4 linked regions of the Arabidopsis thaliana genome follow. The protein of the gene in region 4 interacts with the protein of the main gene of each other region in a pairwise test. Each region holds a gene or a part of one and is shown on either strand. Other genes may lie near its edges.

Region 1 (8,136 bases), on a different chromosome or scaffold from region 4:
TTTCACAGCGATCCTTCGATTGGCTCAGAGAAAGAGACCAACTTAGAGCAGAGATGAAGGTTGGAAAAGTCTTCCAAGGAATGCGCGAGGCATTAATCACTTTCCCTCCCACTTACAAATTTGAAAGGAATCGCTCAGGCCTTGGAGGTAAAAGTGGATTTGATACATAAGATATGAATTTGAAAAAATTGAAGCAGTTTTGCTCTGCTCTGTTCTCTGCATTTTTTCCTCTGTTTTGTAAGAGATGGTGGCTCCAAAAAAACTGAATCTTTCTGTGCTGTGTACTCTCCAGGATATGATTCAGGGGAGAAAAAGCGAATTCCTGCGTGGTGTGACCGAGTTATATATAGAGACACTCAATCTAGCCCATTCTCTGAGAGCAATTTGCAATGCCCTGTAGTTTCATCAGTCATAATGTATGGTTTCATGACGACCTTTCTGATGTTTCTCGCTTTTTCCGGTCTCTTCAATGTGTTTTCTCCATTCTAACTTCCCACCTGCGTGTTTCAACAGGTATGAAGCTTGCATGGATGTTACTGAGAGCGATCACAAACCCGTGCGCTGCAAATTTCATGCGACAATAGCTCATGTTGATAAATCTGTGCGGAGACAGGAACTGGGGAAAATAATAAGGTCTAATGAGAAGATTTTATCCATATTCGAAGATTTAAGATTTGTTCCAGAAACTTCTGTGAGCACCAACAACATTGTTCTTCAGAGTCAGGACACAGTCATCCTAACAATCACAAACAATTCACCCACGAGCCAAGCCATATTTAACATTCTGTGCGGTGGCCAGGCTGTAGTTAAGGATGACGGAGAAGATGCTGACTACAATCCACGAGGCTCCTTTGGTCTACCACGCTGGCTCGAGGTATTAAATTCTCTTTTGACGCCAAATGAAGATTCTTGTAGTATTCAAGATTTAGTGATATACAAGAATTTTTTTCTTTTAGGTTTCTCCCGCAGCAGGGATAATAAATCCAGAAGGATCCGTAGACGTTAAAGTTCATCACGAAGATTTTTACTCAATGGAGGAATATGTTGATGGCATCCCACAGAATTGGTGGTGCGAAGACACTCGAGATAAAGAAGCAATCCTGATGGTGAACATTCGAGGAAGCTGCTCAACAACATTGAGAAGCCACTCTGTCAAAGTCCGTCACTGCTTCTCAGCCAGAGTATGTCTCCTTGAGAACAGACCCACGAACCTAACAAAGAACTTAGGTGGTTCACGTCGTTACCCAACAGATATTACCCGTAATGGAAGCACTAGACCAAGAACTGAAGACTCGGTTAGACGAGGTAAAAGCCGGTGATGAGCTCTTGTGACTTTGACAGTTTTAACTAGATCTTAGAGCAGAAGAACAACAAAGTCATCACAAGACAAATGCATCAGGTGAAGAATCGCTTTTATTCATTCGTTGATTCTTTAGAAAATTCATTTTGTGTCAGAAATTGTAGATTTGCTTTGAGACTGTTCCTCAGGTAGCATGTATTCAACTTTTGTATCTCCTCACTTGAATCTAAACTACAGGTACGTGACCCATGTATACATTTGTTACTCTTACACTAAATTGCCTGTTCTGGAGATTTTAGTCTCAGAGTGCATACATTCTCTTGTTGAATTCGCCGTTGAGAATCTCTGACTCTGAAGGCATATGAGATAGTGAGAAAGATTTCGATTTGCTTCTCTCTTTCCTTAAGCTTTTCAGTTTAGATTCCTCGATCCTATGCATGACCACACAGTAACACATTGCACCTATCGTGGTTAGCATAATCGTCCCGCCAATAATCGTTGCACAAATCGCCAGCCAAATGTCCTCCTTACCCACAACGATAAACGAAAGAGAAACAAAGGCTACGGATATGAACAAACAAGCCAACCACATGAGCTTGTTGATCACAAACACAAGATTCTTCTTTGCCTTCTGCTCAATCACCACAACTGAAGTCTGCACCACAACAACAGCCAAAGATATGAACAGCGCCAAGCTGTCAAATATGAAGAAGACTAAAAACGGGGCTTTGCCGGCTATGCGGGCTTCTCCTAATAACAACAGTCCCTTTGTTCTGTCTTCTTCATATTGCCCAGGAATGGTGAAGATTGCTGCAAATGCAACTGTTGCAATTAGGACAGCCACAACGGTTGCAGAGTTTATAGCGTTGTTTAAACCATTGATGTGAAGCTTCTTCAGTCTCTTTGCGATTCTCCGCACCCTAACACCCGTTTGGCGAGACTGTTGGAGCTGAGACTGTACCTCGTGTTTAATGTCACTGACCGTTTGGTTAAGTTGCTTAGCCGGGTTTCGAGGCTTCCCAAGATCTTTAGCTGTTGCAGCTCCTGCTTCCTTCAGAACCGACACAAGCTCTGGATTTCCAATCTTTTCGGCTATATCAAGTGCAGTATCTCCAGCCTTATTCATAGCATTAAGGTTAATTCCATCAAATGATACCAAACATCTCACTATCTGCAAGCAAAGGCAAAATGCAGTTCATCAGAATTCTTGTAGATTGAGAAACTGAGGGGAGGGGGAATTAGCGATGATGATACCTTAATACGGCCTTTGTTTGTGGCAGTGTGCAACGGCGTATTCCCTTTACTATCCTCAACACTCAAAATCGCAGGATCAGGTTTCACCAACTCAAGAACAATCCCTTCGTTCTGACCTTTGACAGCCATGTGAAGCGCTGTTTGTCCCTTCTTATCAGTTCTAAACCCGATGCTTGCATCATTACCTATCAAAGACTTAACCACTTCTCTGTGCCCCATTCGCGCTGCAGAATGAAGTGCGGTTTTACCATTGTTCTTAGCTATCTTAGCTAAATGAGAATCCGTCTTTAAAAGAAGATTCACCACATCAGTGTGTCCTTGTGAAGCAGCCGTGTGCAATGCAGTTGTACACGATAGATCCACCGTCATAGCCAGATTCGGAAATGTCTCCAACAATTTCTTCAATGCCTCTGCAAAAGACAGCACACATTCAAAGATATATGTCAAGAAGGTGTACAACAATAACAAGGTCTTCAAGTTATTATCAGATTCTCTAAAGTTTCATTTACCAATATGGCCTTGTTTTGCAGCGACATGGAAAGGATCAAAACCGTTGCGAGCTTTAACTGATGCAGTATCAAGATCCATATGTTTCAACATCTCTTCAACAACTAATGAATGCCCATTTTCTGCTGCACTATAAAGAGGGGTCTCTCCTTCTAGATTCTGCTTTGATGACAACTCCTTCAACTCTTCAATGCCGTTACAAGCTCGAATCAATTCCATAACCTTTCCCAAATTCCCCGTTCGAGCTGCGAGATGAAGAGGAGAATCTCCTCTTTTACCAGGTGAGTCAGTCTTCTTCTTCCTCTCACCACCAACATTCATGAAACTTAACTGTCTCTCCATTACTACCCTAAAGCTTTTCTGCTTCTCAACAAACCCACGAAAGCTTCTCTGCCTCTCCATTGCCCTCTCCTGTTTCTCCATTGCTCTTCCTTTGATTCCATGTTTCTCAACAACATTCACAGCTAGGAAACTAACTTGCTTGTCCAAAGCTCTTCCCTTTCTCACCTGATTCTCTGCACCAACGCATCTGAGACTCTGCTGTTCCTCCACAGAGTTACCTCGAACGCTCTCTTGCTTCTCCATAACAGGAACCAGAGAACTCATGGTATGCTTCTCCCTTAGATTACACAAAGATCTTGAATAACAACTTTTTCTCCCAAATCTGAAAGATGCCAACTTTGTTTGAAGAATCCGTGAGCTCTTTTCCAGCAACCCGTGTTTCGTAATAACAGAACCAGCTTGAAAATGGAAAACCCTGACTTCCCTGTGATTTCCAGATTTCTTGTAAAGATTCAAACCGATGTGATGAAAGAAGAGAGAGAAAAAAAAAAAAGGTTGCAGCTGATTTCAGTAGAGTGTAGCTGAAACCCAATAGATTGATTTGTAAATCTCAATGCTTTTTGTGGGCAAATCATGTAAGATTCTCAGGATATAGAGATAGAGAGAGAGACTGTGATGAGTGACTGCATCTTCAGCTGTTTTCTTTATTAATTTCGCTAAACTTCCAAAATCTTTAGTAATATTAGTGATTACTTTTTCTTTTGAGTTTTGAAGCAACAAATTCTTAATTACTATGTCAATTATCTCCAGTTTAAAACTTTATATCCAGTTAAAGCTTCTTTTCTCTAATTTCTTTATATTTTTGTTGTCCAAATCAAAGACCAAAAAGCAAAAGCACAATGTGATGGTGACAACAAGTCAAAGTCTTCCACTTTGTTGGTTACTGAAAATAATATTTTATTAATAAAAAAAAAAAAATTGTATGTTACAGAAATTGGTGATCATATACCTTGTTACAGAAAACTATTTGAAAAATCAGTTTCCTAATAACATTTCACAGTGATATCATCTTAACCCCAAATAAATTCATCGATTTAGACAACTAGTAGGTTGAATAACACCAAGATTTTTCCCAACAGCATTGAAGCACAAGGAAGTAGCAGGAGTTCCTTTGTTGTAAGTAAGCTTTATGTCTTGTAATGTGATTCCCGTGCATGGATTGCTCTTGCTACACACCAGCTTCATTGCTTCCTGCGTCGCCGAAGTTCCTTGTATGTTCTTGTACGTCACTTGGGTTATCTTCACCCCCGAATGCTAATACATACCATAAACATAATAAATCTTTAGTTATTTGACTAAGTTGATAATTTGATATAGCATATTTGATTAGTCTGAAATTGATCAAAAATATGATATGGATATACCTCAGTAGGGCAACCTTGGTTGGACGGACAATAGTTTTGGTCGATTATGATAGGGTTTTGGACGTTCCTCATGATTAGATTTTGAAAGAAGACGTTTCTAACGAATCCGGTACTCGGCCTCGCCCATGACTTTATCCTCACGCCGTTTTGTGATCCGGTGAATACCGAACTCGATACTGTCACGTTCTCTACTCCGTCTTCGTTTAACTGCTTTGCCAAACTCCCGATGCTGCCAGTCATCACATCATCATATGAGTTGTGACCAGAGTGAGTGAAGGCAATATTGCTAGTTTTTTTTTTGTTGGAAATTCATGATTCCTAACAATTAATGATATATTTACATAATTTACTCTAAGGAATTAGACGGTGGTGTATACCTAACCCCGTGACCTGGGCCACAAGCAAGCTTGGAAATTAGGAAGTTGCGGGTCCCCTGACCGATAGCAACACAATCGTCTCCGGTCTGAACGGTGCTTCCGGTTAATGTGACTCCAGTGGAGAACTGAACGGTGAAGCCGTCAGTGTTTGGGCTGTCTCCGGGAGCCACCAGCCTAATGTTACGGACGGCCACATTGGTGCAACCGTTGAGGGTCATATGGCTAACCTGGCTGTTCATCGATTTCACTCCACTTATGATCACGTCTTTTGCGGAGTTGAACGATATTGACTACAGTAATTAATATATAAACGCCATAGATTAATAATAAGATTATAAATATTTCATTTTATTTTGACCAAAGAATCCATTTCCTTGTCCAAAAATCATTATCATAATAGTTATTATATGCTTATAAAATAAATTCCTAAAAATGGCATGGATAGATCATATTGAAAATTAAATGTGCCTGAATTAATATAGTTGAAAACTATCAACTAATTCCTTTTTTTTTTTAATCGTAAGTAAATGATTGGAATAAAGATATGTTATTTGACTATTAAAAAAAATATATTGACTTATTTAGTTATTACTAATCAATAATGATTAAAGCTATTTGTTGCTCTTTTGCATTCTGGTGGCGCTTATGTATGAATGTCAGATTGTTGTTTTTATTTACAATAACTATAGATAGAGGAGAAGCATATGTACCCTAACACCGGGAGGACAATTCTGGCCAGATTTCCGGCAAGACCAGAACCCACTACCTCGAGCGTCAAAAGTCCCACCGACCAGTGAGAATCTGTTAACCTTGTTGAAGAGAATCCAGGAACCGGAATTGCCAAAGGTCCTATAATCTTCCGGAGCAACGACGGTTCCGGTCACTTGAAATGTGATTTTGCTCTTGCATGGCCCTCCAAACGTTATTACCTTCAACAAAAATGTCCCCGTGGGGACCACCACCGTGGCTGATGCTGCCGAGCCACAAGCCCCTTGCCATGCCTTTAGGAATGCTGCTGTGGAATCGGTGACTCCGTCTGGTTTGGCCCCGAAGCTCACGACGTTGAAAACAATGGAGGCGCTGCTCGAGACATCGATGAAGGTGAGAAGTGTGAAGATAAGTGGAAATGTTATAGCTGATTTTGTCATTTTTTATATGTGAGTTTGAGTTTATGTTTGTGTTTGTGTTTGTGTTTGTGTTTGAATTGATTTGATTTGATGCATGGGTATATATAGGGAGAGAGAGCATAATTATTTTGGTTCGTTATTGGAGTCTATGGTACAATTAAGTACATGTGATATCTATATGATAAGAGGTTGTGAATATTTTATGATTGATAAAAGAGTTTACATTTCCAATCATTAGGTGCACACATGGTTGATATCGTACTTTTAGGAGCAACGGTCGTTGTATGAACGATGACATTTTTGCACATTATCAATTTCCCATATAACATGGGCCATATACGTATGTGTATATGTATTATATTCTTGGTACATGTTGTTTTTATATATTGATGAACAAAATAAATACGTGGAAACCCACTCAGCGATTGATTAGAACATAAACCGTATATAACGTTAATTCTATAGAGAACCAACAATACTAAATGAAGAAAACTATCATTTGTGCATAAATAGAAACTCAGCCATAAACTAAGAGAAAGAAACTCAACCAAAACCCCTATAGAGTGCAGAGTTGATTTTTTTTTTTTTTTTTGTTATCGACACAAAATTTACAAACTCCTGAAAGAACTACCATAAAAATAGGAATTCTTTATAAAAAAAATAGTAGTAACAAAATTAAATGAATAATATCTATCCTAATCTTTAGAGTATTCTTTTTATCAATAAAGTATTACTTTTCTCCAAGAAGGTAAAATGATCATGGAACAAAATCCTTAAAAACTTTAATTTTATCAAAATTTCAACAAAGAGAAGAACAATATAATCCATTAAAAGAACAATTTGTCATCTGCCATTTCCTTGCAGCTATATGCAAAACTTATGTTTTGGAAGTATTAGGAACACTTTCAGAACCAAGATTTTCTGATCGAAGGCCAATATAAACAAACATTAAGTAGTTGAGCAAATCTTACAATCTTTCGATTTGTACATATATGCACATTACGGGTGAATGTTGTTATAGTTAGCCATTTTATACTCTCTTTTTTTTTAACGACCATATACAAAACGGTAATATTGTGAAATTAAATTTAAAATGTAGGTAAAAAGTGATCAAAATATGTATAAATGACGACATCACCTCATTTTTATATGAGATGACATGTGATCAACTTAGCAGTTGACCGAAAAAAAAAAAGACGTGTGATTAACTAGCTCACAAATTATTGAAACCAACCCAATCATATTCGTTAATCATTCTGATCAGAATTACAGAAAGTCAATATTATATATATTAGCTAATTGTAGTTGTTGACATTTTGAATTCAACAGCCCTAAATATGATTCTTGCGCCGCTCTAGTTGAATTCATTGATTGGTTGTTGTTGTATCTACAGAATGAATAAGAGGTAAGACGAGAGAAGAGACAACAGTCGAACGGAGAATCTGCTACAAGGTAGAGAGACCGAGGAAGCAGGTGATTCCCATGTGAGATTCTTTTAGTCCTAAGCCCTGAAGAGTGTGACCATCTTTAGCTCTTAAACTATTTAGCAACCATATACATACACATTATTCCTTTTCTTTTCTTTATTAATTAAAAAAAAAAGTTTCCAAAATATATAATCATCACAAATGGGCTTTGTAACGGGCCAATACAACTTCTCGGATTACAAAAAACGGAAGCAGAAGCTCCGGCAAAAATTCTTTTTCTCAGTTTCTTCTAGATTTGTCTTATATTTTGCTTTTAAAGCCAGCTCTCTGCTGACCGGAAAAAAAAACAAGTACTGTACAATGTTATTGTGATAAGTCAACGTCTTCCAGTTTCTCAGTTATTAAATTTTATTTACTAATGAAAATATAGCTAAATAA
Region 2 (7,451 bases), 9.3 Mb from region 4:
CTGGTGAAGCAATGAAGCATTCTGTGGGAGCTACTCATCCCGTAAGCGTTTCTTTCTTAGACGATGTCATTTTTGTCCTGTGACTTTCATTATTTCCAGTGTGACATCTTCTCAACCTTAGCTAAATGTTAGTTTTCATAACCTTGAATGGGACCTGAAAAAAATATTGGTCGTGCATTTTATTCACTTCTTATGAAAATTCCACATCAAAACATTAGTAGGGACTTTAAGTAGGAAGAAAAGAAACAGAGAGGAGCATCAAGAATTTATGAGAATGGTTTTGTAGGCTTGGAAAGTTTAGGGTCTCTAGAAGAAACTCTAACTAAAGTCTGCTAATTTACTTCTGTGATTCTGCATTGTGTTTTTTCGATAGGCTCGATGTGTTTAAGCAATATTTTATTGGGTATTGCAGGTGCATCTGATTCGATATGTGCCTGATAAGCTTGACGAGTCAGTACTATGGACAGAGAGCAAGGATTTTGGCGATGGATATCGCACAATAAGAATGGTAAACAATACGAGGCTAAACGTGGATGCATATCATGGTGACAGCAAATCTGGTGGTGTACGTGATGGCACGACTATCGTCCTCTGGGACTGGAACAAAGGCGACAACCAGCTCTGGAAGATCTTTCCTTTCTGTAAGCTTTTCTTTACCGTTTCTGCTTAGTTTTTAAATTGTTAATCTTGCATCAAACTAGAGACCATGAGATAAACTTTGAAATGGCAATGGTCAAAACCAGAGCTAGAACTCTAATGGGCTAATGTATCGACGACTTTGACGTCGTGGTTCGATTCGATTTAATTTCAAGAGTCTTAAGTTAACTATATGTTGAACCAAATTATTAACCTTTTTTAACTGAATTTTGTCAATGCAGGAAAATTGGCGTCTGGAGTGGTAAAAAGTTCCTTTGTGTGTGCTGTATGAATAAGAAAGAAACAAAACTCAGATTTATTCATTGTTTGTGTCTTGTAAAGACTTGAGTTTGTGCTGTTGGCATCTGTAATCTATCTTACTTGTATTCCAAGTATGTTTTTACAGATACATTACATACACTGTCTATATGTGTATACTTTTTTCCTAATCTATTTTGAGATCTTTCTTTTTCCTTTTGGGAGATATAAACGACAGATTGTTATCGAATTATGTTGATTAGTTTATTTTAGCAGACTTTCGCGCACGTTTATTTGCATTTCTGTGATAGCTGTCTCTGTTTTAAATTGTGAAGGAGTACAGTTTTTGCTTGGACTAAAAGTTTATTTAGGATTTTTACAATATATCTTGAGATTTGATTCTTATAAAATACTACGAATTATCGGAAATCTTCGACGACGTGATTGAATTATGCAGATTATAAATAAATTTAGCGAAGATCATTATAAAAGATAACTATATTATCTGTAAATCTGTCATCATCAGATAACAAAATTTAACGATAAAATAGACAAAAACTTGTTCTTGGCTGGACTGTAGATTACTAAAATTTACGTCAGTTTCTTGGGAAATGGTAAATGAAAAATCTGGCCCTATCACTACCAAGTCTACTCCCATAAAAAAAAACGACACAACCATTAGCTAACGTAGAAATGACATTCAATTTCTTGGGAGCTCAATAATGGAATCATAAAGCAGAACCAATCAGCTTGTTTTTCTGTGGCTGCGGAAAAGCGAGGTCCTTGCTGCATGAGTCAGACTCTCACGGCACAATCATGCAGGATACCAACACGTCTCAACTCTCAACGCAACCATTTATGACACATTCAGTCTTTTTTTTGTGCCGACATCAAAACTTGGTTATGGTAAAGATTTGTTGTTGTTAGAGCCTTAGAGCAAATTAGTGCCGACCAAAATAAAAAGTGGGAGAAATTAGTAAAAAGATGAATAAAATAGATCACATAAATGGGATAGGATTATAGAAGAATAATGTGATTATATCCAACAATGTATTAAAGAAAACTTATAATTCAACTTTTTCAAGCAAAATTAGTTATAATATTTTTTTCCTGTGGTTCCACTATAAATAAATAAATAAATAATGAAAATTCATCTAAATATTTTATTCCATCTGTTGATTGTACAACCATTTGGATTAGATTGATTATTTTTTTCAGTTCCAACTGTTAAAGCATTTTAACTGATAGTTCCATGGAGCTTAGCTTAGGTACGCATCGACATAGACTTAAATACCGTAGACTAGATTATCTTTTATCAAGGGTTGGTGATGATCAAAAGTCAAAACAATATAACATTGGTTTTGGTTAGACCGACTCAAACCGACAAAACATAGAAATTAAAGTTTATTATTCCAACATACGATAACATGTCGTCTCCCATACATCTTCCCCATGCATGTTTGCCCTTCACTTCATTGGCCTCACCGATCCTTCAACATTGTCTGATCCCACATCAGGCAATTCAACGGCCACGATCGGGACTTCGTTAACATCGGTTTTATTTGCTAGTTGGTTCTCTGTTGGCAAATCCGTTTTCGTGGAACCTTGATACATCATGTATAGTATCATCTGAGCTACACCGAATAGAAAACCGAGAATGTTTGGCATCTGAATACAAAGCGACATAGAGAGACTTATTAGTAACCAAAAACTAGTTAGAATATTGAAAGATGAATGTGAAAATGTCAATTAATATTACAGCAATGAACTTGTCTTTGATAAGAAGTCCATAAAAGAACCACATGACGGCGTTAAGAGTGAGAGACAAGGAGAGAAGAAACGGCATGTATTCCACACTCTTTGTCTTTATAACCTTCCTCTGCAACATTACACATTGTATATTAATTTCCAATTCACTACAAAAAACGGCAGATGTTTGAAGAAAAGCTGATAGATGGATCATCACCATGACGCTTAAGGGAGAAGCAAAGACTGCGAGACTGTAGGCAGCACAAACCCATCCAACGGTCGAGACGCGGTGTTGTTTTGGAACCAAAAGATTAACTAGAAGAATTAAGAGACCAAGTCCACCGATGTTGCATATCACTATCAACTTCAACGTGGATATCTGCCAAGTGTACCACCAGATTAATTAGTTGTAGATATAGAGTTTCATCACAATCAAGATTTTTGAAACTAGAGGTGTACATACTAAAAATATCAACCATACTATAAATAGAAATATATAATTATAGGAACCTTGGCCTCTCTTGGTGCATAAAGGATATAGAGAAACAAGTAGGAGATTTCAATGAAACATCCAAAGGTGTTAATACTAATGATCAGATAAGCATGTGTCTTCATGATTCCGTAGTAGAGAAGAAGAGTTGCACTTGCTAGTGCACATATGTACGGTATCGACTGAAACCCTTTTGATGATTTCTTCTTGTATATCCCATAAAACGTTGGCCTAAAATATGTATAATTAATCAAATACTTTATATAAACTATTTTAATATATAGCATTTCGAGTTAGAAACTTACACTGGTGACAAGAACACCCCAAAAGACACAATGTTGCCTGAAAACAAAAGCCAGAATCAATATTAGTGTTATGAACTTCTTTATTTTGGGTATAAATGTTAAGTAATATAAAGAACATGTATTCTGTTGTTCAAAAAATAAAAAATAAAAAATAAAGAACATGTATACTCTGTTGGAAATATATGATACGTCACTTTTATTGTTGATTTTATTTACATATTCTGACCATAACTCAAAAGCATAAAAGAATAAGGGAAATAAATTACCTAAGAGACCAAAGAGAAAAGCAATTTCATGAACCTTGAGGAACATCTTCACTTTTCTCTCTTTCTCTTGCTAGTTGACTGCTTTGAATTATAGTTTCTTCATGCAAACCTCCATTTTATATTGGTCTTGGAGAAAAAGTGAGTCATTCTTATAAACCCTTAAACCAAAAAAAAAGTGAGTCATTCTTGCATTTTCATTTTTGTCCCCTATTTAATTTTCTTTCTTTCTCTTTTTAAACAAAAAAACAAAAGTTTGGTTCAAGTTTTCCTGGATTTTATTTTTTTCTGCACAATATAATGTGATCACTCAGTAGCAAATAGTATAACTTTTGCATAGCTGATTGGCTGTAAATTGCTGGTGACTTCTGACTTCTTAGTTTGCCAACCAGCAAATTCTTTAGTTTCTCGTTTTATTAAACCAATTTTAATGCAAATTTAATACTTGTTCTGATCGAGGAAACCATAACTTCGAATTTCTTTCTTGTTTTTTTTTTTGTTTTTTTTTTTGTCTTAAGCGATGAGTTCCTTTCATTTAAAATCAATATCGATATTAAGAATACGGGATGTATGGTCGGTGGTTAATTTTAGGCCTGAAAATATGGAGCTGTGATTTTTGACAATTTGCGATGGAGTATCTACTGATGTCAATGATGTTAATTTGCAATGTCGTCTCCAAGTTACTCATGATTTTGTAAATATAACATGTGGAGACATTTTGTTGCATAATGTGAGATATTTTTAGGATGAGATCAATTGTCTCAAGCTTTGGTGATTTTCTTAGACATATACATATCATTTTCATTTCTTCACAAGTTTTATCGGAAAACAAAGCTAATTAGTAATTACTCCTCATCTCTCTATGAAGGCCCAAAATGCAATGCAAAAAGTGTCAACTCTGTGTGAACCCTAAAACTTGCGGAGCAGTTTAGAAATTTAGTGACATTTAACTTAAATAAATAATCAGGTGGTTGGAACGTCTTGCATTAGGTGTTGTTCCTAATTGTTAGGCCTTCTAAATCCGACAAAGTATTTTTGCATTAGGCTACAAATTTCTTAAAGTCGAATTAATCACTTCAGACATATCATACGCCTAGCAACCCTCTGAATCTGGTTCAATGTTTGTATATAGCCAAATTAATATAAGATTTTTTTATATATAGATAAAACATCACCCATCAGTGATGGGCCATCACCCTAATTATAAGACATTGTGTAACTTATAACAACCTTCCATAACTGGTGTTAAGAAACCAAATGTGATAACTGATAAGATTATTTGCTTGCACATATCACCAATGAGATGATTTGTGAACATGTTAATGAATTAAGTATTTTTATTAATAAAGGTATAATGAAACCTTCATATCAAATTATGTGGGTGAGATGGAGGCATGGATGTGTTTGTTAGGCTCATACCTGAGGCCTCGTATGTTTGGCCTATTTCTTTGTTAGAATCTTAATTTGGTAATGAACAAGACACAAGCTTTTACATCTTGACAGAAACCTTTAAAATCCATCTAATTAGATGATTTATAAGATGCTTTATTATTATGATCTAACCACGTTTATATATTTTATTCAAACTGATTAAGTTTGCGTTGATTATTTACTTCTCAACCCATTTGCTAACTGTATTAAGTAAATTAACAAAATATGATTTATATATATGAACCATGGAGCTTTATGAAGAATTCTGAAAATTTCAGCTGTTTGATCACTCAAGAGGATACATGAGTTTGTTTGTACCAAACATAAATAATGCTTCACATTATTGGATTCTTCAGCGCTAGAGACATTCTTAATCAATCCAAGTAAAAATATTATGTCGATACTCCAAAAAATTGGGCAAAGCTTGGATACTTCGGCTCCCATCCTATCTCCGCTCGTGTCTTAGAGTTGTTCAGCTTCTTCCCTAAAGGACCACTGGTGCCTACAAAAGCCAAAGTTGTCAGACTCCATGAAGCTTAAGGTTTTTCAAGACAACTACATGTCAATGTCTGAAGAAACTCACTTGTAAAACCTTTGAACTTCTTATCAAATTTTCCGCTTTGAGCCATCAGGTCCATCACCTCTTGCCTGAGAAGAGTGAGGGGTCAAACATTTGATGTCTCATCAAAAGTTAGAAAGTAATCTCAAAGTTAGAACGAAAGCAGCATTACCTTGACAAAGGATGGTTGTCACAACCCAAGAAAATCCGAGCACCGGCTTTCTTCTTCATGATTGCAACTGCCAGCGATGCTGCATCCTGTTCAAAAACACATTAGAGAACCTGATAAGAGACTAATGTATAGTACACTGCCATTCTAGAAAATGAGTTCAATCTGCAGATCAACTAATTAGTTATGAGAGTGAACAAAATCACAAATATACCTCATAGTGTATGAGATTTAGAATATGATCAGGACGAGCATCAATTGTCTCCTTACTCAACCAGTAAGTATGTGCACCTCTAGTTTCTGTGTATAAAAAGTTCAGGAGAAACATAATGCTCAAATCTTCTACAGACCAAGAAAAAAGTCTTTCAATACTTGCTCATTCAGTTTCAGTATCGAAATCCAAAAGGATATGTAAAGCCCTGCTAGTCTAAGGACAGTCCCTCCACATTCCAACACTACTTTTTCAGCTTTCAAAAGCACATCAGTTCTTGGACTCTTTCCCAGTGGCACTACTGGAGAATCCTGCAGTGAAGGGTAACGAACTTAGAAATTCTTATTGAATAGCACATATATATATTCACAATGAACAAGAATTTGCATTGTGGTCTCAAATATCAAATTTTTTTATTGATTGTATACTTGATTTTCATAGATTTTAAATGTGAGAGACTCTTTTCCCCAAATTACCTCAACAAGTAATTGTGTTAAACAACTTTGATATAGAATAATACTAAATGTGGTGTTAAAGTCTAAAACTAGGAATTTTAGGATGGAGAAAACTGAAAGAAAATAGGTATTCAGGTGCTGAGACAAACCTCGTTGCATTCTCCGTTATCAAAGCAATCATAAGGTGCAGAACTAGATGTGAATAAGAATGATCCTTCGCCATTCCAGTTTGATGCTGCATTCCTGATCCGATTGTAAACACAAGCATACACACATATTAGACAGTTGAATGAAGGCAAATGTTTTTACTGTTGTCACATAGGATGAACTAAAAAGCACAAATTGACGTTTAGCTTCATTTTTCTTCTCCAGCTAATAAAGTCAAGCGCACAATAGTCGACATTTCTGGCATTCACTAACAGATCATAATGCATAAATTGACTTTCTAGTTATTAAAACATAAGATTTTTTGTAATTAATCACCTGACTTCACCAGCATAATCAGCGCTTTGTGATGGTGGAGCACAAAAGATCACATAGGAGAACTTTCCCCCATATTCGGTTCCTTTAAGAGATGGTTTGATACCCAAATTCTCCAACTCACCATGATGATTTGTTGTTACTGTCTGCCCAAAGATTTGAGACTCTGGATGTTCCTGCTCCACATATAAAGCTCTAACTCTAACTTCCATATTGTGAAAAACATGACTCTTACTATATATACGTTGTGAAGAAAAAGTACTAGTCACTATCCACACACACACCATATTGATAAACACTCAAGACACATTAAAACAGGGATTTGCAGGACATCATAAACGTTTTTGTTTTCGTAGTACAGAAACACCATATCTATCGGATGTTCTATAAGAAGAATATGAGTAAGTATCAAATTGAGCTAAGTCCCCTGTAGGGGATATACAAC
Region 3 (9,489 bases), on a different chromosome or scaffold from region 4:
GCTTCAATATGCAGTGAGAAAGACGGGTTTGTGAAGTTAAAGCGCATGAAGATTCCCGACACATCAGATGCAAGTGTGGATATGAACATAACATTGAAGGAGTGCAAACAGAGGTGCTTGAAGAACTGCTCTTGTGTCGCTTACGCAAGTGCTTACCACGAGAGTAAAAGAGGAGCAATAGGATGCTTGAAATGGCATGGTGGTATGTTGGATGCAAGGACATACTTGAACTCGGGACAAGATTTCTACATACGTGTAGACAAGGAAGAGTTAGGTACACATCTATAAATGAGAATCCCTATTTTCTACGTTCTTGCTCTTCATAAAACAACCACTCTGTTTCATTAAAACAAAGAGAATAAAGAAACATGTCAATGTTTAGTATCGAAGTACTTCAAATACTGAGTTTCTTGCTTGTTTCAGCGCGGTGGAACAGAAATGGCTTATCAGGGAAGAGGAGAGTCCTTCTGATTCTTATCAGTTTGATTGCAGCCGTAATGTTACTAACTGTCATTTTGTTCTGTGTTGTAAGGGAGCGACGAAGTAAGTGAATATCTGATGATGAATCTCTTAAGATGATATGCTGCTATCTTAGCTCACAACTAACTACTTGAAACATGTTCAAGTGCAGAGTCAAACAGGCATAGAAGCTCTTCGGCAAACTTCGCCCCGGTCCCTTTTGATTTTGACGAATCATTTAGATTTGAACAAGACAAGGCGAGAAACCGGGAGTTACCTTTATTTGATCTTAACACGATCGTTGCAGCAACAAATAACTTCTCTTCCCAAAACAAGCTTGGAGCAGGTGGTTTCGGACCTGTTTATAAGGTAATGAAGAGGCAATATCCATTTTTCATCAATACTCCTCCAAGAGAGAACACTATTAAGTTCAATAAGTAGTAAGGAATATTGTTTCCTTTGTTTCTACTTAGGGCGTGTTACAAAACCGTATGGAGATAGCGGTGAAGAGGTTGTCGAGAAACTCGGGACAAGGAATGGAAGAGTTCAAGAACGAGGTCAAGCTGATATCAAAGTTGCAGCATCGAAATCTCGTGAGGATCTTAGGATGTTGCGTTGAATTGGAAGAGAAGATGTTGGTATACGAGTATTTACCAAACAAGAGCCTAGACTATTTCATATTCCGTACGTTCAACATTTTTAACTCAGGTTCAAATTCTCCCTTTCAGGAAGATCAATGACTCTGAATTTTCTTGTTTCTTTCTTCTTATCATCATGCTAGATGAAGAGCAGAGAGCAGAGTTGGATTGGCCAAAAAGAATGGAGATAGTCCGAGGGATTGCTCGTGGAATCTTATATCTTCATCAAGATTCAAGACTGAGAATCATCCACAGAGATCTCAAGGCCAGCAATATACTTCTTGACAGTGAAATGATCCCAAAGATTTCAGATTTCGGCATGGCTAGAATCTTTGGGGGCAACCAAATGGAAGGATGCACAAGTAGGGTCGTCGGAACATTGTGAGTTACTCTTTTCTGAAACACCACAAAACTGTCCAAAATCTTACAACCTTAAACTGTTTCAATCTTGTTGCACAGCGGATATATGGCACCGGAGTATGCAATGGAGGGACAGTTCTCCATTAAATCCGACGTCTATAGCTTTGGAGTATTGATGTTAGAGATCATAACCGGAAAGAAAAACAGTGCTTTCCACGAGGAATCATCTAACTTAGTCGGACATGTAAGTACATAACTGAAAATTTTACACAAAAACAGAGGAAAAAAAACAGAACATAAGTAAATGTATGTTTCTCCGTCTTGTAGATTTGGGATCTATGGGAAAACGGTGAAGCAACAGAGATCATAGACAATTTAATGGACCAAGAGACTTATGATGAGAGAGAAGTGATGAAGTGCATACAAATTGGGTTGCTCTGTGTGCAAGAAAACGCTTCGGACAGAGTAGACATGTCCTCTGTTGTCATCATGTTGGGTCATAACGCCACTAATCTTCCGAATCCAAAGCATCCTGCGTTTACTTCCGCGAGAAGGAGAGGCGGTGAAAATGGTGCTTGTCTTAAGGGACAAACCGGTATTTCTGTTAATGACGTTACCTTCAGCGACATTCAAGGTCGTTAAAACAACTTCCAAATGTTTTACTTTTTTTCGTATAAGAAGAGAAGAAGACTAGAGGATCAGTTACAGGAATCAGGAATCTTATTAACTCTGTAAGTTTGTGTAATGAGACTGGTTTTTTGACAAAACTTATTTATTGAAGTACTGATAACAAAAGAAAGAAAATGACTAATAATAAAACCATTGCTAAAAACAAAACACAAAAAGGAAATTTCTTCGCTGCTATAAAATAATTTTGTGCAGAAAATTCAAGGTTGTTATGTAGTTAATGTATCTTCGAAAAAGTCAAAACTGATGTTATTTTCTTATCCCCTATCCAAGTTTGTTCCAATATACATATACTTATAGCAAAGCAACCAATACACAAAACCAATAATTGTGTTTTAATTCTTTCTTCTCAAGACAAAACCTATGTGCTGTGGCTTTTTCTCAAGAACAACGGATTTTTGTTCTTGTCCTGTTTTCTTCAGGTTCAGTTTCTTCATCCAGGTTAGTTAATTCCAAAAATCTGATTATATGTAAGAATAGGTCAAGTTTCAACAAAGTTCATAAACCTGAAAATAACTTCTCTGTTCTTATTTCAGTAATCTAACCATTGCACAGACGCAGATAACAAAATTTGTAAACATAGGAGTTTCTCAAAACGTGTATATTACATACTATTATGTATATAAACAGACTGAGATTGGCGTGGTGGTGAGGTTAACGTCCTGTTACAGCTGTGAGGCTCACATCATTGATAGATACCTTTTGACTACTCTGGTCAGAAGATTCAGCCTCAGAAGCTCCTCTTCTTACTATAAACGCTGGCTGCTTCGGATCGGCGAGGCTCATGTTCTCGGTAGTTAGCATCCATATCACGTTTGAAACATTTGGTCTATCGTTTGCAACTTCTTGCACACATAACAGTCCAATATGAACACATTTCTCTATCTCTTTCTCGAAACACTTATCAAAGACGGCTGGATCTGCTAGAGAAGCAGCCTCACCGTCGTTCCACAGCTTCCAAGCCTGTAAAAACCAAGTCTTTAAGGTAAGTTTCGAATCTTGATTAACCATAAGTTACTAAAAACACTGCTTTGTAACACTTACATAAGCCAAAAGGTTGAGATTATTCTCTTCCTTGTGAGAACTAGAGTTTCTTCTCCCACTTATGATCTCGAGAAATATAACCCCCAAGCTGAAAACATCTGATTTTTCTGAAAAGAAACCTTCCATTGCATACTCCGGTGACATATAGCCGCTGCAATAACAATATTTGAATAAAACCGAATTTCGTAATGTTTGTTGTGTATTTTGGAATGGATACTTACTATGTTCCAACAACCCTTCTTGTGTTAGCTTCATCTTCATTCGCTCGGAAAATTCTTGCAAGTCCAAAATCAGATATCTTGGGGTTTAGATTCTCATCTAACAAAATGTTGCTGGCTTTTAAATCTCTGTGTATGATCTTTAGTCTTGAATCTCTGTGAAGGTACAAAAGACCTCTGCAAATTCCTTCCATTATGTTGAACCGAGTCTTCCAATCAAGAATCTTTTGCTTCATTGGGTCTGAGAAAAGTTAGCAAAAACATTAGCCTTCTCAATAATCATCCCGAGCCAAACGGTATAAACAGAGTTAAAAAGAGAGTTAGAGGTGATAAGTTTACCAAAAAGATATGCATCCAAGCTTTTCTTTGGCATATATTCATATACTAACATTCTTTCTTCACCTTCAATACAACATCCAAGTAACTTCACTAGATTCCGATGTTGCAACTTAGATATCACAACCACTTCGTTCATAAGTTCCTCTAGTCCTTGACCTGATTTCCGTGAGAGCCTCTTCACTGCAATTTCTTGTCCTTCAGGTAATTTTCCCTAAAAAAAAAGATTACCAATCACTTAGTCTGAGATAATTTGTACACATATCTCCCTCCAGAAAACTTCTTTTGTTATGATTTTACCTTGTAAACAGGACCAAACCCGCCTTGCCCGAGCTTGTTTCTTAGAGAGAAGCTATCAGTTGATGTAGCTAACACTTGAAACTCAAAGAGTGGAAGCTCCTTGAGCTTGATTTGGTTAGAAGCAGACTCATTATCACTTGTAAGTGCTTCCATTCTCTTAAACATTAGCTCTGCACTTCTATCTTTCGCTGGAGCTGCTAAGGTAATGATCAATGAAGCAAAACAATTATGATAAAAGAAACAATCAGAATCTAACATTCATGAATAAACAAAACTCTAACCTGGACGCTTTTTGTATTTCCGGCATGCTAAAAGAACGCAGACCGCAGCAATTAACATAACGCCTATCACAGGTGCTGCGATCATAACTGCTAGATTGCTATGTGTTTCTACAAAAAGTTGGTAAGTAAAAACTTAAGTCAGTGAAGAAAACAAAAATGGAGAAGGAAACAAAGTGAGAACTACTAGATATATTTCACTCACTGAGTTCTGAATGAGCAACACGAATAAAAAGATCAATGCCACTTCCCAAAAATGATTGCATATCAACTAAATCACCACTCCAAAGCATGCATCCAATTCCTCTATCATATGCATAAGCTGTGCAAGAACAGTTATCTAAGCATACTTTAGGACAAACTTGTTCACTAGCTTCAGACCGTTCCGCAGAGATTGGTACTTTCATCTTCTGCAGTTTCAAAAAACCATCTGCTTTTCCTCCACCACCACCATTACTTACATTTCTCTGTCTTTCACACTGCAATGGAGCTTTTCTCATACATCCATTACTCCAATTACCACCATTCCACTCTGTGTTATTCTTTGGAACAAACCCTTTAACACATTTACAAGGCGGGTTTTCCCCGGCATGGCAGCTCCCGAATCGACCACATCTACCGTATGCATCACAGTCTGTGTATGGAAACTTTACACCTATCCTCCAAGTTCTCATAGAAGTACTCCAATCTTTCTGATAAATAATTCCTTCAGGATCCAAGTTAAAGTGATACATGAACGAATCATTAGCATAAGACATTGAGATCGTTCCTTGATTATCACTGTTAAGATTAAACCCATCAAGAAACAGAAGTGAATCCATATTCGGTAAACCGATGAAAACCTGACCGTTCCACGGTCCGCTACGCCACGTTGGGACATTGTTCTTCCAGATAAGAAGCTCAGGAAACGTGAAAGGAGCAATACCAGCTGTGTAGTTTCCTGTTGAAGGATCATCGTGGCTTGTCCAAGAAGTAAGCTTTAGGTTACCTCCAGTTCTACCGTCGGTGCCAAGAGTCATTCTTGGCATGAAAGAATCATAAGGATGCTTGAAACTCTCCCAAAGAATCTCACCATTGTTTCTGTTGTCTTGTAACATAAGATTCCCAGAATCCATAAGCTGAACCCAAGTAGCATTTGGAGCTACTGGTACTGAGACATTCGTCGACCATACAAGGCGATTTCGACCATCGGTAACCGCGAGATTTCCATCTTGATAGATCGAGATAACACCGGAAGTGTCGTTGATGGGAGAGTCTTTGTTAGCAACCCAAACCACAGTTTGGATTGGAATCTTTTCGTACCAAATCCCAACATAACGTAACCGAGTAGTGGAATTAACAGGAGTGAAGAAACCAAACCTGAAAATACCACTTTTGCATAGAAGGGTCTCTGACTCTGAGTCTTTGATAGGACTTGAGAAAGTGATTCTGTCCTCACCAAAACAGAGTCTCCGAGACAACAAACAAGTGCATGCAAGTAGAAGAAGAACAAAACGACGACGTATGGTCACTGAAACCACCATAACTCTTTGAAACAGAGAATGACTCCAGTTTTGCTTTGTTTTCCTACACGAGAGGTAAATTAGTAGTCTTTTTCTGTCTCTATGAGAAGACTTGACTTAGAAAATGATGTAAAAGTTTTATGTTTCAACGAAGATTTGTTTTTGGTGTGAGTAATAATGTTATTAGGTGGATTCATTGAATAGCCCACCAATTAGCAGTGAGAGTGGAATAAACCACCAATCTTGACTTTTCTTTAAATGCAGAGGAAACGATTGAAAGCGAGAGGACTACTTGCCTTAGTGCGATTTCAATGGGGTCATTGTTTATACATTTCGAGTACACTTGTTTTATTTGCAGATTATAGCATTTGAAAACAAATATTACTTTTTTCTGTTCTCATTCTTGGTGATACAAACGAACGCGTGTTTCACAGCCCACTTGGTGTTTTGCCGTCGTTAAAGTTTGAGGAATTTGAGTTGAATTTGTTTATGTCATGCCGTTCTAGATTGGATTAGGTCGCAAATCTTTTTGTGGGTAGCTAATTTGGAATTTGTTGAGGCAAGCACACAATGTATCACATGAAATGCCTAAACGAAGTGTACAAAAGATTCGATTTCTGTTCAGTTGAAACGGAATAGAAAGTTTTTTTTTAAACTATGAGAAAGGTTTTTACCAAACAAATTTATCTTGTATTAAAAAAGGATGTGGTCTCTATCGAACAACACATACTTTTGACTTTGCATGCAAATACGAGACAATGTGCCACGAGGCCAAAATTTGCAATTTTTAAAGAATTATTAGATGGTGACAAAAAATTGAATAGAGAAATTAGGTGGGGATATTGCCCTTGATACAATTGTTATGTGAAGCCTAATTTGTTTTATATTGGTAACATGTTATTTTTTTGTATGGACGTTCTAAGTTTTTTACTTACCAATGAAAGCCACACAATTCACAAATCACAATGATGACTGATGAGTAATGACATCTAAAACGACAGAAGCCGAAACTAGTATTATTAGAAAGTCTAATTGACTCAAAACGCCAAATCTTTGAGCAAAAATAAAAGGGAAATGGAGAACAAAATTACCTCTCTTTTTTTTTTTTTCATATTGCCATTGCGTTCTGCATAGGACTTTGTTGTATCAAATGAGACCTGAGAAAAAGGTCATTGACTTCGACAGATGAAAAGTCTAGAGAATTTGTATGTTCATGAGACAGAGGGTCACAACGTAGCTCTCAACATGACAACATCAATCAAACTGTTGTACAGTCACATCTTGTTTAAGAAGAATTCTTTCAAATAATCTTTAAAATGCCACAACCTATGTTACGTTGCAATCAAGACATACTAATCATAGATCAATCTTCAGTTATTCTACTTCTCCCTAAGCATAAATAAGCATTACGACATTTGTTACCATTACAATAAAAAAAAAAGCAAATTAGTGTACTATTCCAACACAGATGGAAACAATTACTAACAAGACAACAAAGATTTTTCTAAGCGATGATAGACAATAAACTTTTATCTTCAAGGCACAAAAATGGCAGCTACATTAAATATTTTCAGACAAATAAATTGCATTAGACACAAAAATCTCAAAACTGCAGTCAGTGGTAATTCGAACCATCAATGTACAAGTAATGAGTAAACTTGAGATCACAGCGACCAGTGAGACTTTAGCATAAGACCTATGGTTCTTCCGTCACTGTTTGTGTGATAAACAAGACATGGACTTAATCTAAACCTATCGCCTATGTTGAATTTCAGATATGATTCCACCTGAAACTGATCATGATTTCTTGAACCATCAACAACTCCCCCAACGCTCATGCCCCAGCCCACTTCATCCTCTGGGTTGTCTGTAATAGACACTGACCATTTCACTTGCTTTTCTCTTGAGTTCTGAATTTCAATCCATCCCCCAAGTTTTGTAGACTCGTCCATTAGAGAGTCTAACTTCAAAGCAATGGAACTGGACGACACATGATTCATGTTTCTACTCATCTCCAGAGGCGGTGCTGATGGTTCAGGCTCCGTAGCAGTATGGCGCCTTAGGAAACTTACTGGAACTGTAATGGCTCCAACAGAATGGAGATTGCTAGATGATGTTAAAACTTGGTGACAGCCCAATAGAGATAGCTTTAAACTTCTGAGAATGTGGCAGGTTACTTGCCCAAATGTTCTGAAACAACGATTCGGTGCAGTCAAACCCTGTTCAACTTCAACGTTTGACATAGACTGAGCCAGTGAAGCTGTGATATTTGACTTTCTGAATGTTAACCCTATGGCGCTCCCATTATGTTGGCTTAAAAGAGGTGGTCCAAGTTCAGAAACTTCTGTGAGACTCATTCCCTGCAAGACGAAGGTAGTTGTATTTGTAGTTTTATCAATAACGATTATTTATGAGAAACACAACAAATATAGAAACAGAAATCTGCAACGATTGGTGGATACCTGGTAAGAAGACACAGTAGAAGCCTCAATGTCTCTGAAATGCGCGCCAACAGGAATAGCAATAGCAGAGAACCAATCATTAATATCTGCCTTGTAGAAGACTTTGGCTAAAGACAACTCTCCTCCTAAAAAATCCCTGTGACTTCCTGCCCCATTGTATCCAGCAACAAGCTCAGCCACAAGCCTATCTGTCTCCCTAAGACTCGTTTCAAACACAAACCTTGAAAGCAATCCCGGTCTCACTCCTTCTTTGTTGAGTCCATTGAAACTTTCCTCGTCAGTGTTTCCCATCAGCAATATAGCTCCAAGCACATCAACTTCACCTCTCACATGAGTGCTAGTCTCTTGAAAGGGACCTCCTTTCGATAATTTCTGCGAGGAAATGATCCGCTCTACTTTCTCTTGTCTTTCTCTAAGTTTCATCAAATCCGAGAATGTTTCTCTTTGTAATCGCTTCAAGATATCAATCTGCAACATAATTCCCAAAACCAACAATGCAGAAACTCAAATTCAACATCACATTTCAAACAAAAAGTTGATTTTAAGAACAAAATGAGTAAAGGGGATGGATAACGATACCGGATTCAGGCGAGAAGGATTCTCATGGAAGCCGAAATGGCGGGAGACTAAATCCTGGCTCGATTTCGTAAAGCTCTTCACTTTCTCCAACACCGAAGCAATTGGGTCCATCTTTTAATCAGAAACTGGTAAGGAAAGCTTGAAGATTCTAGAAAATTTCGAACCCAGTGATGATCATTTCTATCGATGATAAGAGGATTTGAATAGAGAAGATGCGAAAATGTTTTAGGGTTTATGTGTTTGGATTTTGGTTTCAAAATCTGGAATTGGACGATCCGGTTTCTTACGTCGGTTCGTTTCGGTTATTTTCGAATTTCTGATTATTTCGGTTAAAGAGTTTGGTCAACCTAAAACCAGAACAATTGATTATTTCTGATTATTTCTTCTTTTCTTTTGGTATCATTGTATCAAAGGCGAAGGATACCAAAGGTAAGGATATAGTTGACGAATGTACGACGAAGTAACAAAGGGGTTCTAATGTCCGGTTTCGATCTTAAGTTGTGGTAACGATTGAATCGCATTGCAGAATCTTGAACTGGACGATGCATATGGTTAGTTGCTTCAGTGAAGGTTGACTTCAATGATATTTTGGAAAGTCGTCGTGAGAAAGTTGATTATATTGATCG
Region 4 (6,963 bases):
CAATTCTAATATTATTTTCATCATCAATGTTCTCAAGTTATAAAATCCAAACATCAATCACATCATCTCTCAACAAAAAAGAAGAATCAGTACCCAAAAGACTAGAAAAACGAGTCAAAAGCATTATTCTGAATATATTTGTCTATATCATTATTAGCTTCAAAACCACCACCAAGATAAAGAGCTGAAAGAAGCATCAGTACCCAAAAGACCGGAGAAAAACATAGCATCAACAAAGCAAACAATCTAGACAAACGCAGCAGAAACAATCACACTATCAGTAGTATCTAGAGTGGGTTTTCAAGACATTCAATGACCGCAGTTTAAGAAAGCAAGCAAACCAAAAGAGTAGATAGCACGAGAGAATCTCTGAGATGGAGATCTTTGTCAATAGAAAAGCTAAGAAGAAAGCCCAGCTCCTCCTGGTCCTGGGCTGTCACCTAAATCACCTATATATGAAGCGTACGTACTTGTCGAAACCGTGACATGCCTTGTATGTGTTAGGCATGCCACCTTCCTTCTTCTTCTGATGCCGTCCTCTAAATTCAGTCCGATCTGAAATTATCCAAATCAGAGAGATATGAGTTTCCATAAACAAAATTAGTTTACTCAGAATAAAAAATCAAGCGCTCTATTTTTGGAATCGAAATTCAAAAATTCATCAGCGAATCGCGCAAATCTATGTCTATTTAGCATCACTTATCGAATAGAAATCTAAAATCGAAACATAATCAACTAACAAACGCCACAGATTGTTAGCAAAAATCGAATCCATCTATTTTTGGAATCAAAATTCAAATATTCCTCAAAAATCAGCAAATCGAATTTCTCTCTATTTCCTCAATTTTTGCACAAATCTATGTCTATTTAGCATCAATAATCGTAACAAAATCAACTAACAAACGCCGCAGATTGTTACCAAAATTTGAATCCATCTATTTTTAGAATCAAAATTCAAATATTACTCAAAAATCAGCGAATCGAATTTCTCTCTCGTTCCTCAATTTTCGTACAAATATATGTCTATTTAGCATCAATAAGAAAAACACAATCAACCAACAAACGCCGCTGATTATTACTAAAACTTTAATTCATCTATATTGAAATCAAAATTCAAATATTCCTCAAAAATTAGCGGATCGAAATTCTCTCTACTTTCTCAATTTTCGCACAAATCTATGTCTTTTTTTTTTTGGGCAAACTTATCTTATCATAAAAGAGAAAGAGTTTTAACCTCTACCAACAGAGGATACAACATAGCAACAACAAGTCGGAAAAGCTAAAGCATCGACAAACATAGAGATCAAACATAAGCGAAAGCTAGCAACAACAATGCTCAAAAAGAGACTTGGGGACAAGGGTGAACCCAAAGGTTCTAGCAAAGCAGCAACTAACCAAGAGCATCCAAAAAAGCAAACACCTTTAGCTTGGAAGACCTTGTCGAAACCACAATAAGGAGGAAACAAAGCCTCCAATGACACTAACGTCAAACAATCGGCAAAGGCTGAATGAGAACAGTCTTGAACAACAATCCTCGCTTCTACTTCAAGCAGATCAGTATTGCACACAATGCTCCCTGTAACTTTATCACTAAACACAAGTGAAGTATTTGAGAGGATAAAAAGCTCCATAAAGGAGAGATGAGGGCTATGAAATCCCCAATGAACCAGAAAAACTGGTAGGTTGTCTGAAATCAAAGCCCTCCGTCTAAGCTGCGAAGAGACAACTTTTAACAAAAACAAATCGAGATAGAATCCGCATACTGCAGTAAAAGATCGCATTAAAGCGATAGAGGTATTACAAGAGAGCACAAAAGTATCCAAAACATTCTGTCTAAGCTGCGATGAGACAACTTTTAACAAAGGCGAATTAAGACATCCACATATTGTGGTAAGTGATCGCATCAAAGCGATAGAGGTGCTACAAGAGAGCACAAAAGTATCCAAGCCAATCGAAACTAGATAAGCTACATATGAATTACACAAACCCAAATTCCACAAAACCAGAGCCACAAACTCTATCAACAACCAAACCCTTCCAATCTTAGAAGAAACATACGGCGAAGAGTAAGAGCAAACCTGAGGGAAATACTGAGGAAGAAAAGTGGTGTCGTCGGCGAGAAGGAAAACATCAATGAAAAAATCAGTGATCGAAGAGGTCGGTGACGGAGATTCAGATATGGCGGAGGAGATATGGAGAATGAGCGAGACCAAATCTGGGAGGGAAGAGGAGCTCAACGACTGAGCATAAGAATCAGCAAAAGTGAAGCAGATCTGAGAATCTGGTGGATCCGGTGGTTCCGGTGGAGTCGGCGGAGATGGAGGCTCTGGTGGTGGTGCACAAGGTGGCCTCAGAAGGAGGAAGGCGACCGAAGACGACGGTAAGCGACGAGAGTGGCTCGCATTCGAGAGAAAAAGGAAAGTCATTTCAAGTGAAAGACTCGCCGGAAAACAATTACGCCACCGGAAAAGTAGATTCATTGGAGAGATCTCACTTTAGTAGTAGCTACAATCAGGAACGCAGGCAGTCAGAGGAGCAACGCCGGTGAAGAGAACTAATCACGAACAAGGCTTGCGGCTACCTTGGTTATCTTGCTTGAGAGAAAATTTTTTTTTTTTTTTTTTTTTTTTTTTAGTAAGAGCCTTTTATTCACCAATAAGAATTTTGTTCTTTCTAAGTATACAAAATGACTAAAGAGTATTTTACTTAACTCACAAATAGTACACAGGAGAGCTCTAACAGATTGAAACGTGAACCTCACCTGGAAAGAAAGTACTTTCTTTCATCACACACTAAAGTCTTCAAAAGCTGTTGAAAGTTCTTTACTTGTTTCAAAAGCGACCAAGGTTCCTAAGAATTGTTTAGCTCAGAGACCAACTTCCAAAAAAAAAGATATTAACCTGTAGAAAGCTTTTGTTCTGGATCTTGAACTCGCAACAAACATCGCAGCTTCCCTCAACAAAACATTGCTTTAGGATCCAGAACAAATATGGTCATGGTCTTTGAACAATGTTACCACATAATCTGTTAAATCTCCTGCTTTTCAAACATGTAAGTGAATTTCAACAGAAACAAATCTAGCTCCACTCTATGAATATTGAAGCAGTTTTCTGAGAATCCGGAAAGGGCCTATAAATCAAAAGAGAAATAAAACACCTCAGGTAGGAGAGTCTTGAACTTTGAATAGTATACTAGTCTTTTTGGATCCTTCTAAGGTTACATTAGCAACATCAACGACCTTGGAGTTATGAAAAAGCCTAGCAATGTCTCTTACATCATCTCCACCACATTCATCAACCGAAACCACACAAAATCCGCCACGTCTCACCGTCCTCTCCATCTCCTCCACAAACTGCCACGGAAACAGAGCTTCAGCTAGATGTGCAGTGAAGGCAAAATCAAAGACACCGTCGAAAAACGGAAGGTTATGAGGATCAGCTCTTTTCACAAGAGGAATCGAATCAACCAATTCAACTGCGGTAACATCAGATAATCCGATCTGAGAAAGAGCCATCAGAGCATGGCCTGCTCCGGCGGAGAGACAGAGAGCTTTGGTGTGATTTTGAATGAATCCGAGATCGCGAAATCGGAGGAAGTAGGTAGAGAAGGAGTATAGACGAGATTTCCAAGCTCCAGAGGACCAGATTCGAGCGTTCTTCTTTGGGAGAGGAAGATGCTGACGAGGCGATGAATCGCATGTAGATCTCGGGAAATGCGTATGAGGTTTCGATGGAGCTTCTGGAGAAATACAAGTTTTTGGTGTCTGGAGAATCATAATTACCATTAATACTGTTCCGATGCTTAAGAACACTATTGATACTCTCTTCAGCATCTTCTCGACGTTTCTCTCCATCGTCGCCGATCAAAACTCCGATCAAAATATCTATGTTTATATAACATCAATAATAAAAACACAATCACCTAACAAACGCCGTTGATTGTTACCAAAACTCTAAATAATCTATTTTTGGAACGAAATTCAAATATTCATATAAGATTAGCGGATCGAATTTCTCTCTATTTCCTCAATTTTCCACAAATCTATGTCGATTTAGTATAATTAATCGAAACATGGTCAACTAACAAACGCTGCGAATTGTTATCAAAACTCGAATCCATCTATTTTTGGAATTAAAATTCAAATATTCCTCAAAAATTAGCAAATCAAATTTCTCTCAGTTCCTCAATTTTTACACAAATCTATGTCTATTTAGCATCAATAATTAAAACACAATCAACTAACAAACACCGCCGATTGTTACCAAAACTCGAATCCATCTATTTTTAAAAACAAAATTCAAATATTCCTCAAAAATTAGCGGATCGAATTTCTCTCTAATTCCTCATTTTGGCACAAATCTATGTATATTTAGCATCAATAATCGAAACACATTCAACTAACAAACGCTGCAGATCTAATCCATCTATTTTTAGAATCGAAATTCAAATCTTCCTCAAAAATTAGCGGATCAAATTTCTCTCTTGTTCCTCAATTTTCGCACAAATCTATGTCTATATAGCATCAATAATCAAAATACAATCAGCTAACAAATGCGCTGCTTTGTCACCAAAACTCGAATTCACTTATTTTTAGAATCAAAATTCAAATATTCCTCAAAAATCAGCGGATCGAATTTCTCTCTAATTATTCGATCAAGAAACAAATCCTACATTGTTAGCAAGTAGTGGGTATAATGACTGGAAAAATGCTGCGCAAAGGCTGAAAAGACATGAAACAACTCATCGTCATATTATTTCCATGACTCATTGGATGGAGCTAGAAGTGAGATTACAAAAGAGTAAAACAATTGATAACCATATGGAATAGGCAATTAAGAAGGAGAAAAAACATTGGAGAGATGTATTGGTGAGAATAATTGCAGTGGTAAAGACTCTAGCTAAACAAAATTTAGCATTTTGTGGAACTAAAGAGAATGTTGATGATCCAAATAGTGGAAATATTTTGGCATTTATTAGAATGATTGGAGGTTTTAATTCGGATATGAAGGAACACATTCGGCGGGCTAATAAAGGTGAAATTCATTGCCATTTTCCCAGTCATAAGAGTCAGAATGAATTGACAGAATTACTTGCTAATGATACCAAGATGATGATCTTAAAGAAGATTAAAGATGCGAAGTATTTTTCAGTCATTCTTGATTCCATTCCGGATGTTAGTCGTAAAGAACAAATGACCTTCTTAATTCGATGTGTGGATGTTTCAACGTGTTCACCTAAGATTGAGGAGTTCTTCTTGACGTTTCTACACATCAAAGATAAGAGGGGTGAGGGGCTTTTTAAGACTCTTCAAGATGCATTGATTGATCTTAAGTTGAATATTGATGATGTAAGATGACAAGCATACGACAACTGACAAAATATGAAGAGAAAACATAAAGGAGTTCAGAAAAGGTTGCTTGATATAAATCCAAGAGCATTTTACACTCCATGTGGATGCCATGGTCTTAACCTTGCACTTTGTGATATGGCTTCATCATCCAAGAAAGCTGTTTCTTTTTTTGGAATTGTTCAGCGAATACATTGTCTGTTTGAAGCTTCAACCAACAATTGGGAAGTGTTTAGAGAAACAGTGAATGGTATTACACTTAAACCGTTGTCTCAAACGCGTTGGGAAAGCCGCATTGATAGTCTTAAACCAATAAGATATTAAGCTTCAAAGATACAGATACAAGATGCACTTTTTTATTTGGCAGAATACACTGATAATCCAGGACACCGGAGTGATGTTGAGTCTCTTACAGAGAGTGAAACACATGGAATTGGAGGGTTTGAATTTTTATTTGGAATGATAATTTGGTACGATTTGCTAGCTGCTGTGAATATAGTAAGCAAATCCTTACAGTTTGAGGATATGGATCTTGAGGTTGCTATTTCTCAGTTAGGAGGGCTTGTTACTTATTTGAAAAACTACAAAGAAACAGGTTTCGAGAAAGCCAAAGTTGAATCTACACAAATTGCCATTGAGATGAAGATTGCGCCGGTATTTCCAAAAAAGTCGGTGAAAAAAAAAAAGCAATTTGTTGAGGATGTTGAGAAGATTGATGAAAGTAAGATTGCAGAGGAGAGTTTTAGAATTGATTACTTCATCAATATAATGGATCAAGCTATAATGTGTATTGAGATAAGATTCGAGCAATTCCAAGTATATGAACAAATATTTGGATTTTTGTTTGGTGTAAAGAGATTGAAGGTAGCAGAAGATGATGAGTTAAGGACATCGTGTATGAAGCTTGAAGCTTCTTTGAAGCATGATGTGCATTCAGATGTTGATGGAGAAGATCTGTTTATGGAGCTGAAACTTTTAAAAGATGTGTTGCCAAAAGAGATTACAAAGCCGGTCGAAGTGTTGAAATTTTTGAAAATAATGGATAGCTGTTATCCAAACACATGGATCGCTTATCGTATACTACTCACCATTCCGGTTTCAGTTGCTTTGGCGGAGAGAACTTTTTCAAAATTAAAGCTCATAAAAAAATATCTACGTTCGACTATGTCTCAAGAGCGATTGAATGGTTTGGCGCTGATATCTGTATAACAAGAACTGGTTGAGAAGCTCGATTACCAAAAATTGATGAATGAATTTGCAGGAGCGAAAGCTAGGAGGATTATGTTTCGCCAGGAAGAAAACTGAGATTTCTATTTATTTTTTTTCTTGTTAACAATTTTTATGTTCAATTTTCTTAAACAAAATAAATTTCATATTATTTTATTTTGCGAAAAAAATATATTTGGGCATCAATTTTGAATTTGCTTTAAGCATCAAATATCCTCGGACCGGCACTAAATCTAGGGTTACCATTCTGCTTCTTCTTCCATCTTTTCTTCTGCTTTCCCATGATTTAATTTCCTTTGAAAATTTTCCAATGGAAACAATGTCCTATTCTTTCCGCTGCACGCTGCATTTTATAGATTTTTTTTAGATTCACCCGTATAACTATGATT

The links.
Region 1: the proteins of AT2G16030 (region 4) and AT1G05640 interact in a protein complementation assay, tested with the Arabidopsis thaliana proteins (one large-scale study listed by BioGRID).
Region 2: the proteins of AT2G16030 (region 4) and SWEET9 interact in a protein complementation assay, tested with the Arabidopsis thaliana proteins (one large-scale study listed by BioGRID).
Region 3: the proteins of AT2G16030 (region 4) and AT1G11330 interact in a protein complementation assay, tested with the Arabidopsis thaliana proteins (one large-scale study listed by BioGRID).

What each region holds. Positions count from the first base shown.
Region 1 is NC_003070.9:1,685,835-1,693,970, forward strand, and holds AT1G05640 (Ankyrin repeat family protein), read right to left. Parts: upstream 4,122-8,136; 5' UTR 3,668-4,121; coding exon 3,064-3,667; intron 2,965-3,063; coding exon 2,555-2,964; intron 2,472-2,554; coding exon 1,602-2,471; downstream 1-1,601. Other genes in the region: 5PTASE13 (Endonuclease/exonuclease/phosphatase family protein), read left to right, coding at 1-147, 293-416, 514-874, 957-1,319; AT1G05650 (Pectin lyase-like superfamily protein), read right to left, coding at 4,430-4,657, 4,768-4,996, 5,145-5,434, 5,855-6,292.
Region 2 is NC_003071.7:16,304,457-16,311,907, forward strand, and holds SWEET9 (Nodulin MtN3 family protein), read right to left. Parts: upstream 3,907-7,451; 5' UTR 3,751-3,906; coding exon 3,705-3,750; intron 3,476-3,704; coding exon 3,439-3,475; intron 3,365-3,438; coding exon 3,154-3,364; intron 3,023-3,153; coding exon 2,861-3,022; intron 2,774-2,860; coding exon 2,654-2,773; intron 2,563-2,653; coding exon 2,362-2,562; 3' UTR 2,035-2,361; downstream 1-2,034. Other genes in the region: EULS3 (hydroxyproline-rich glycoprotein family protein), read left to right, coding at 1-41, 413-641, 879-880; EMB2799 (NAD(P)-binding Rossmann-fold superfamily protein), read right to left, coding at 5,525-5,634, 5,716-5,780, 5,864-5,949, 6,075-6,164, 6,272-6,382, 6,676-6,769, 7,010-7,182. UniProt on the Arabidopsis thaliana protein: Mediates both low-affinity uptake and efflux of sugar across the plasma membrane. Nectary-specific sugar transporter required for nectar production by mediating the secretion of sucrose from the nectary parenchyma to the extracellular space.
Region 3 is NC_003070.9:3,806,726-3,816,214, reverse strand, and holds AT1G11330 (S-locus lectin protein kinase family protein), read right to left. Parts: upstream 6,421-9,489; 5' UTR 5,844-6,420; coding exon 4,526-5,843; intron 4,432-4,525; coding exon 4,324-4,431; intron 4,237-4,323; coding exon 4,043-4,236; intron 3,957-4,042; coding exon 3,746-3,956; intron 3,648-3,745; coding exon 3,410-3,647; intron 3,340-3,409; coding exon 3,189-3,339; coding exon of another isoform or gene 3,162-3,188; exon of another isoform or gene 3,108-3,161; coding exon 2,799-3,107; 3' UTR 2,406-2,798; downstream 1-2,405. Other genes in the region: AT1G11340 (G-type lectin S-receptor-like Serine/Threonine-kinase), read left to right, coding at 1-274, 424-543, 632-828, 933-1,143, 1,241-1,478, 1,557-1,701, 1,785-2,099; AT1G11320 (GDSL esterase/lipase), read right to left, coding at 7,487-8,182, 8,285-8,752, 8,864-8,974.
Region 4 is NC_003071.7:6,971,039-6,978,001, forward strand, and holds AT2G16030 (S-adenosyl-L-methionine-dependent methyltransferases superfamily protein), read right to left. Parts: upstream 3,970-6,963; 5' UTR 3,854-3,969; coding exon 3,158-3,853; 3' UTR 2,635-3,157; downstream 1-2,634. Other genes in the region: AT2G16016 (uncharacterized protein), read right to left, coding at 102-230; AT2G16018 (uncharacterized protein), read right to left, coding at 1,541-1,582, 2,079-2,480; AT2G16019 (uncharacterized protein), read left to right, coding at 2,134-2,244; AT2G16020 (uncharacterized protein), read left to right, coding at 2,318-2,548; AT2G16040 (hAT dimerization domain-containing protein / transposase-like protein), read left to right, coding at 4,979-5,285, 5,715-6,556.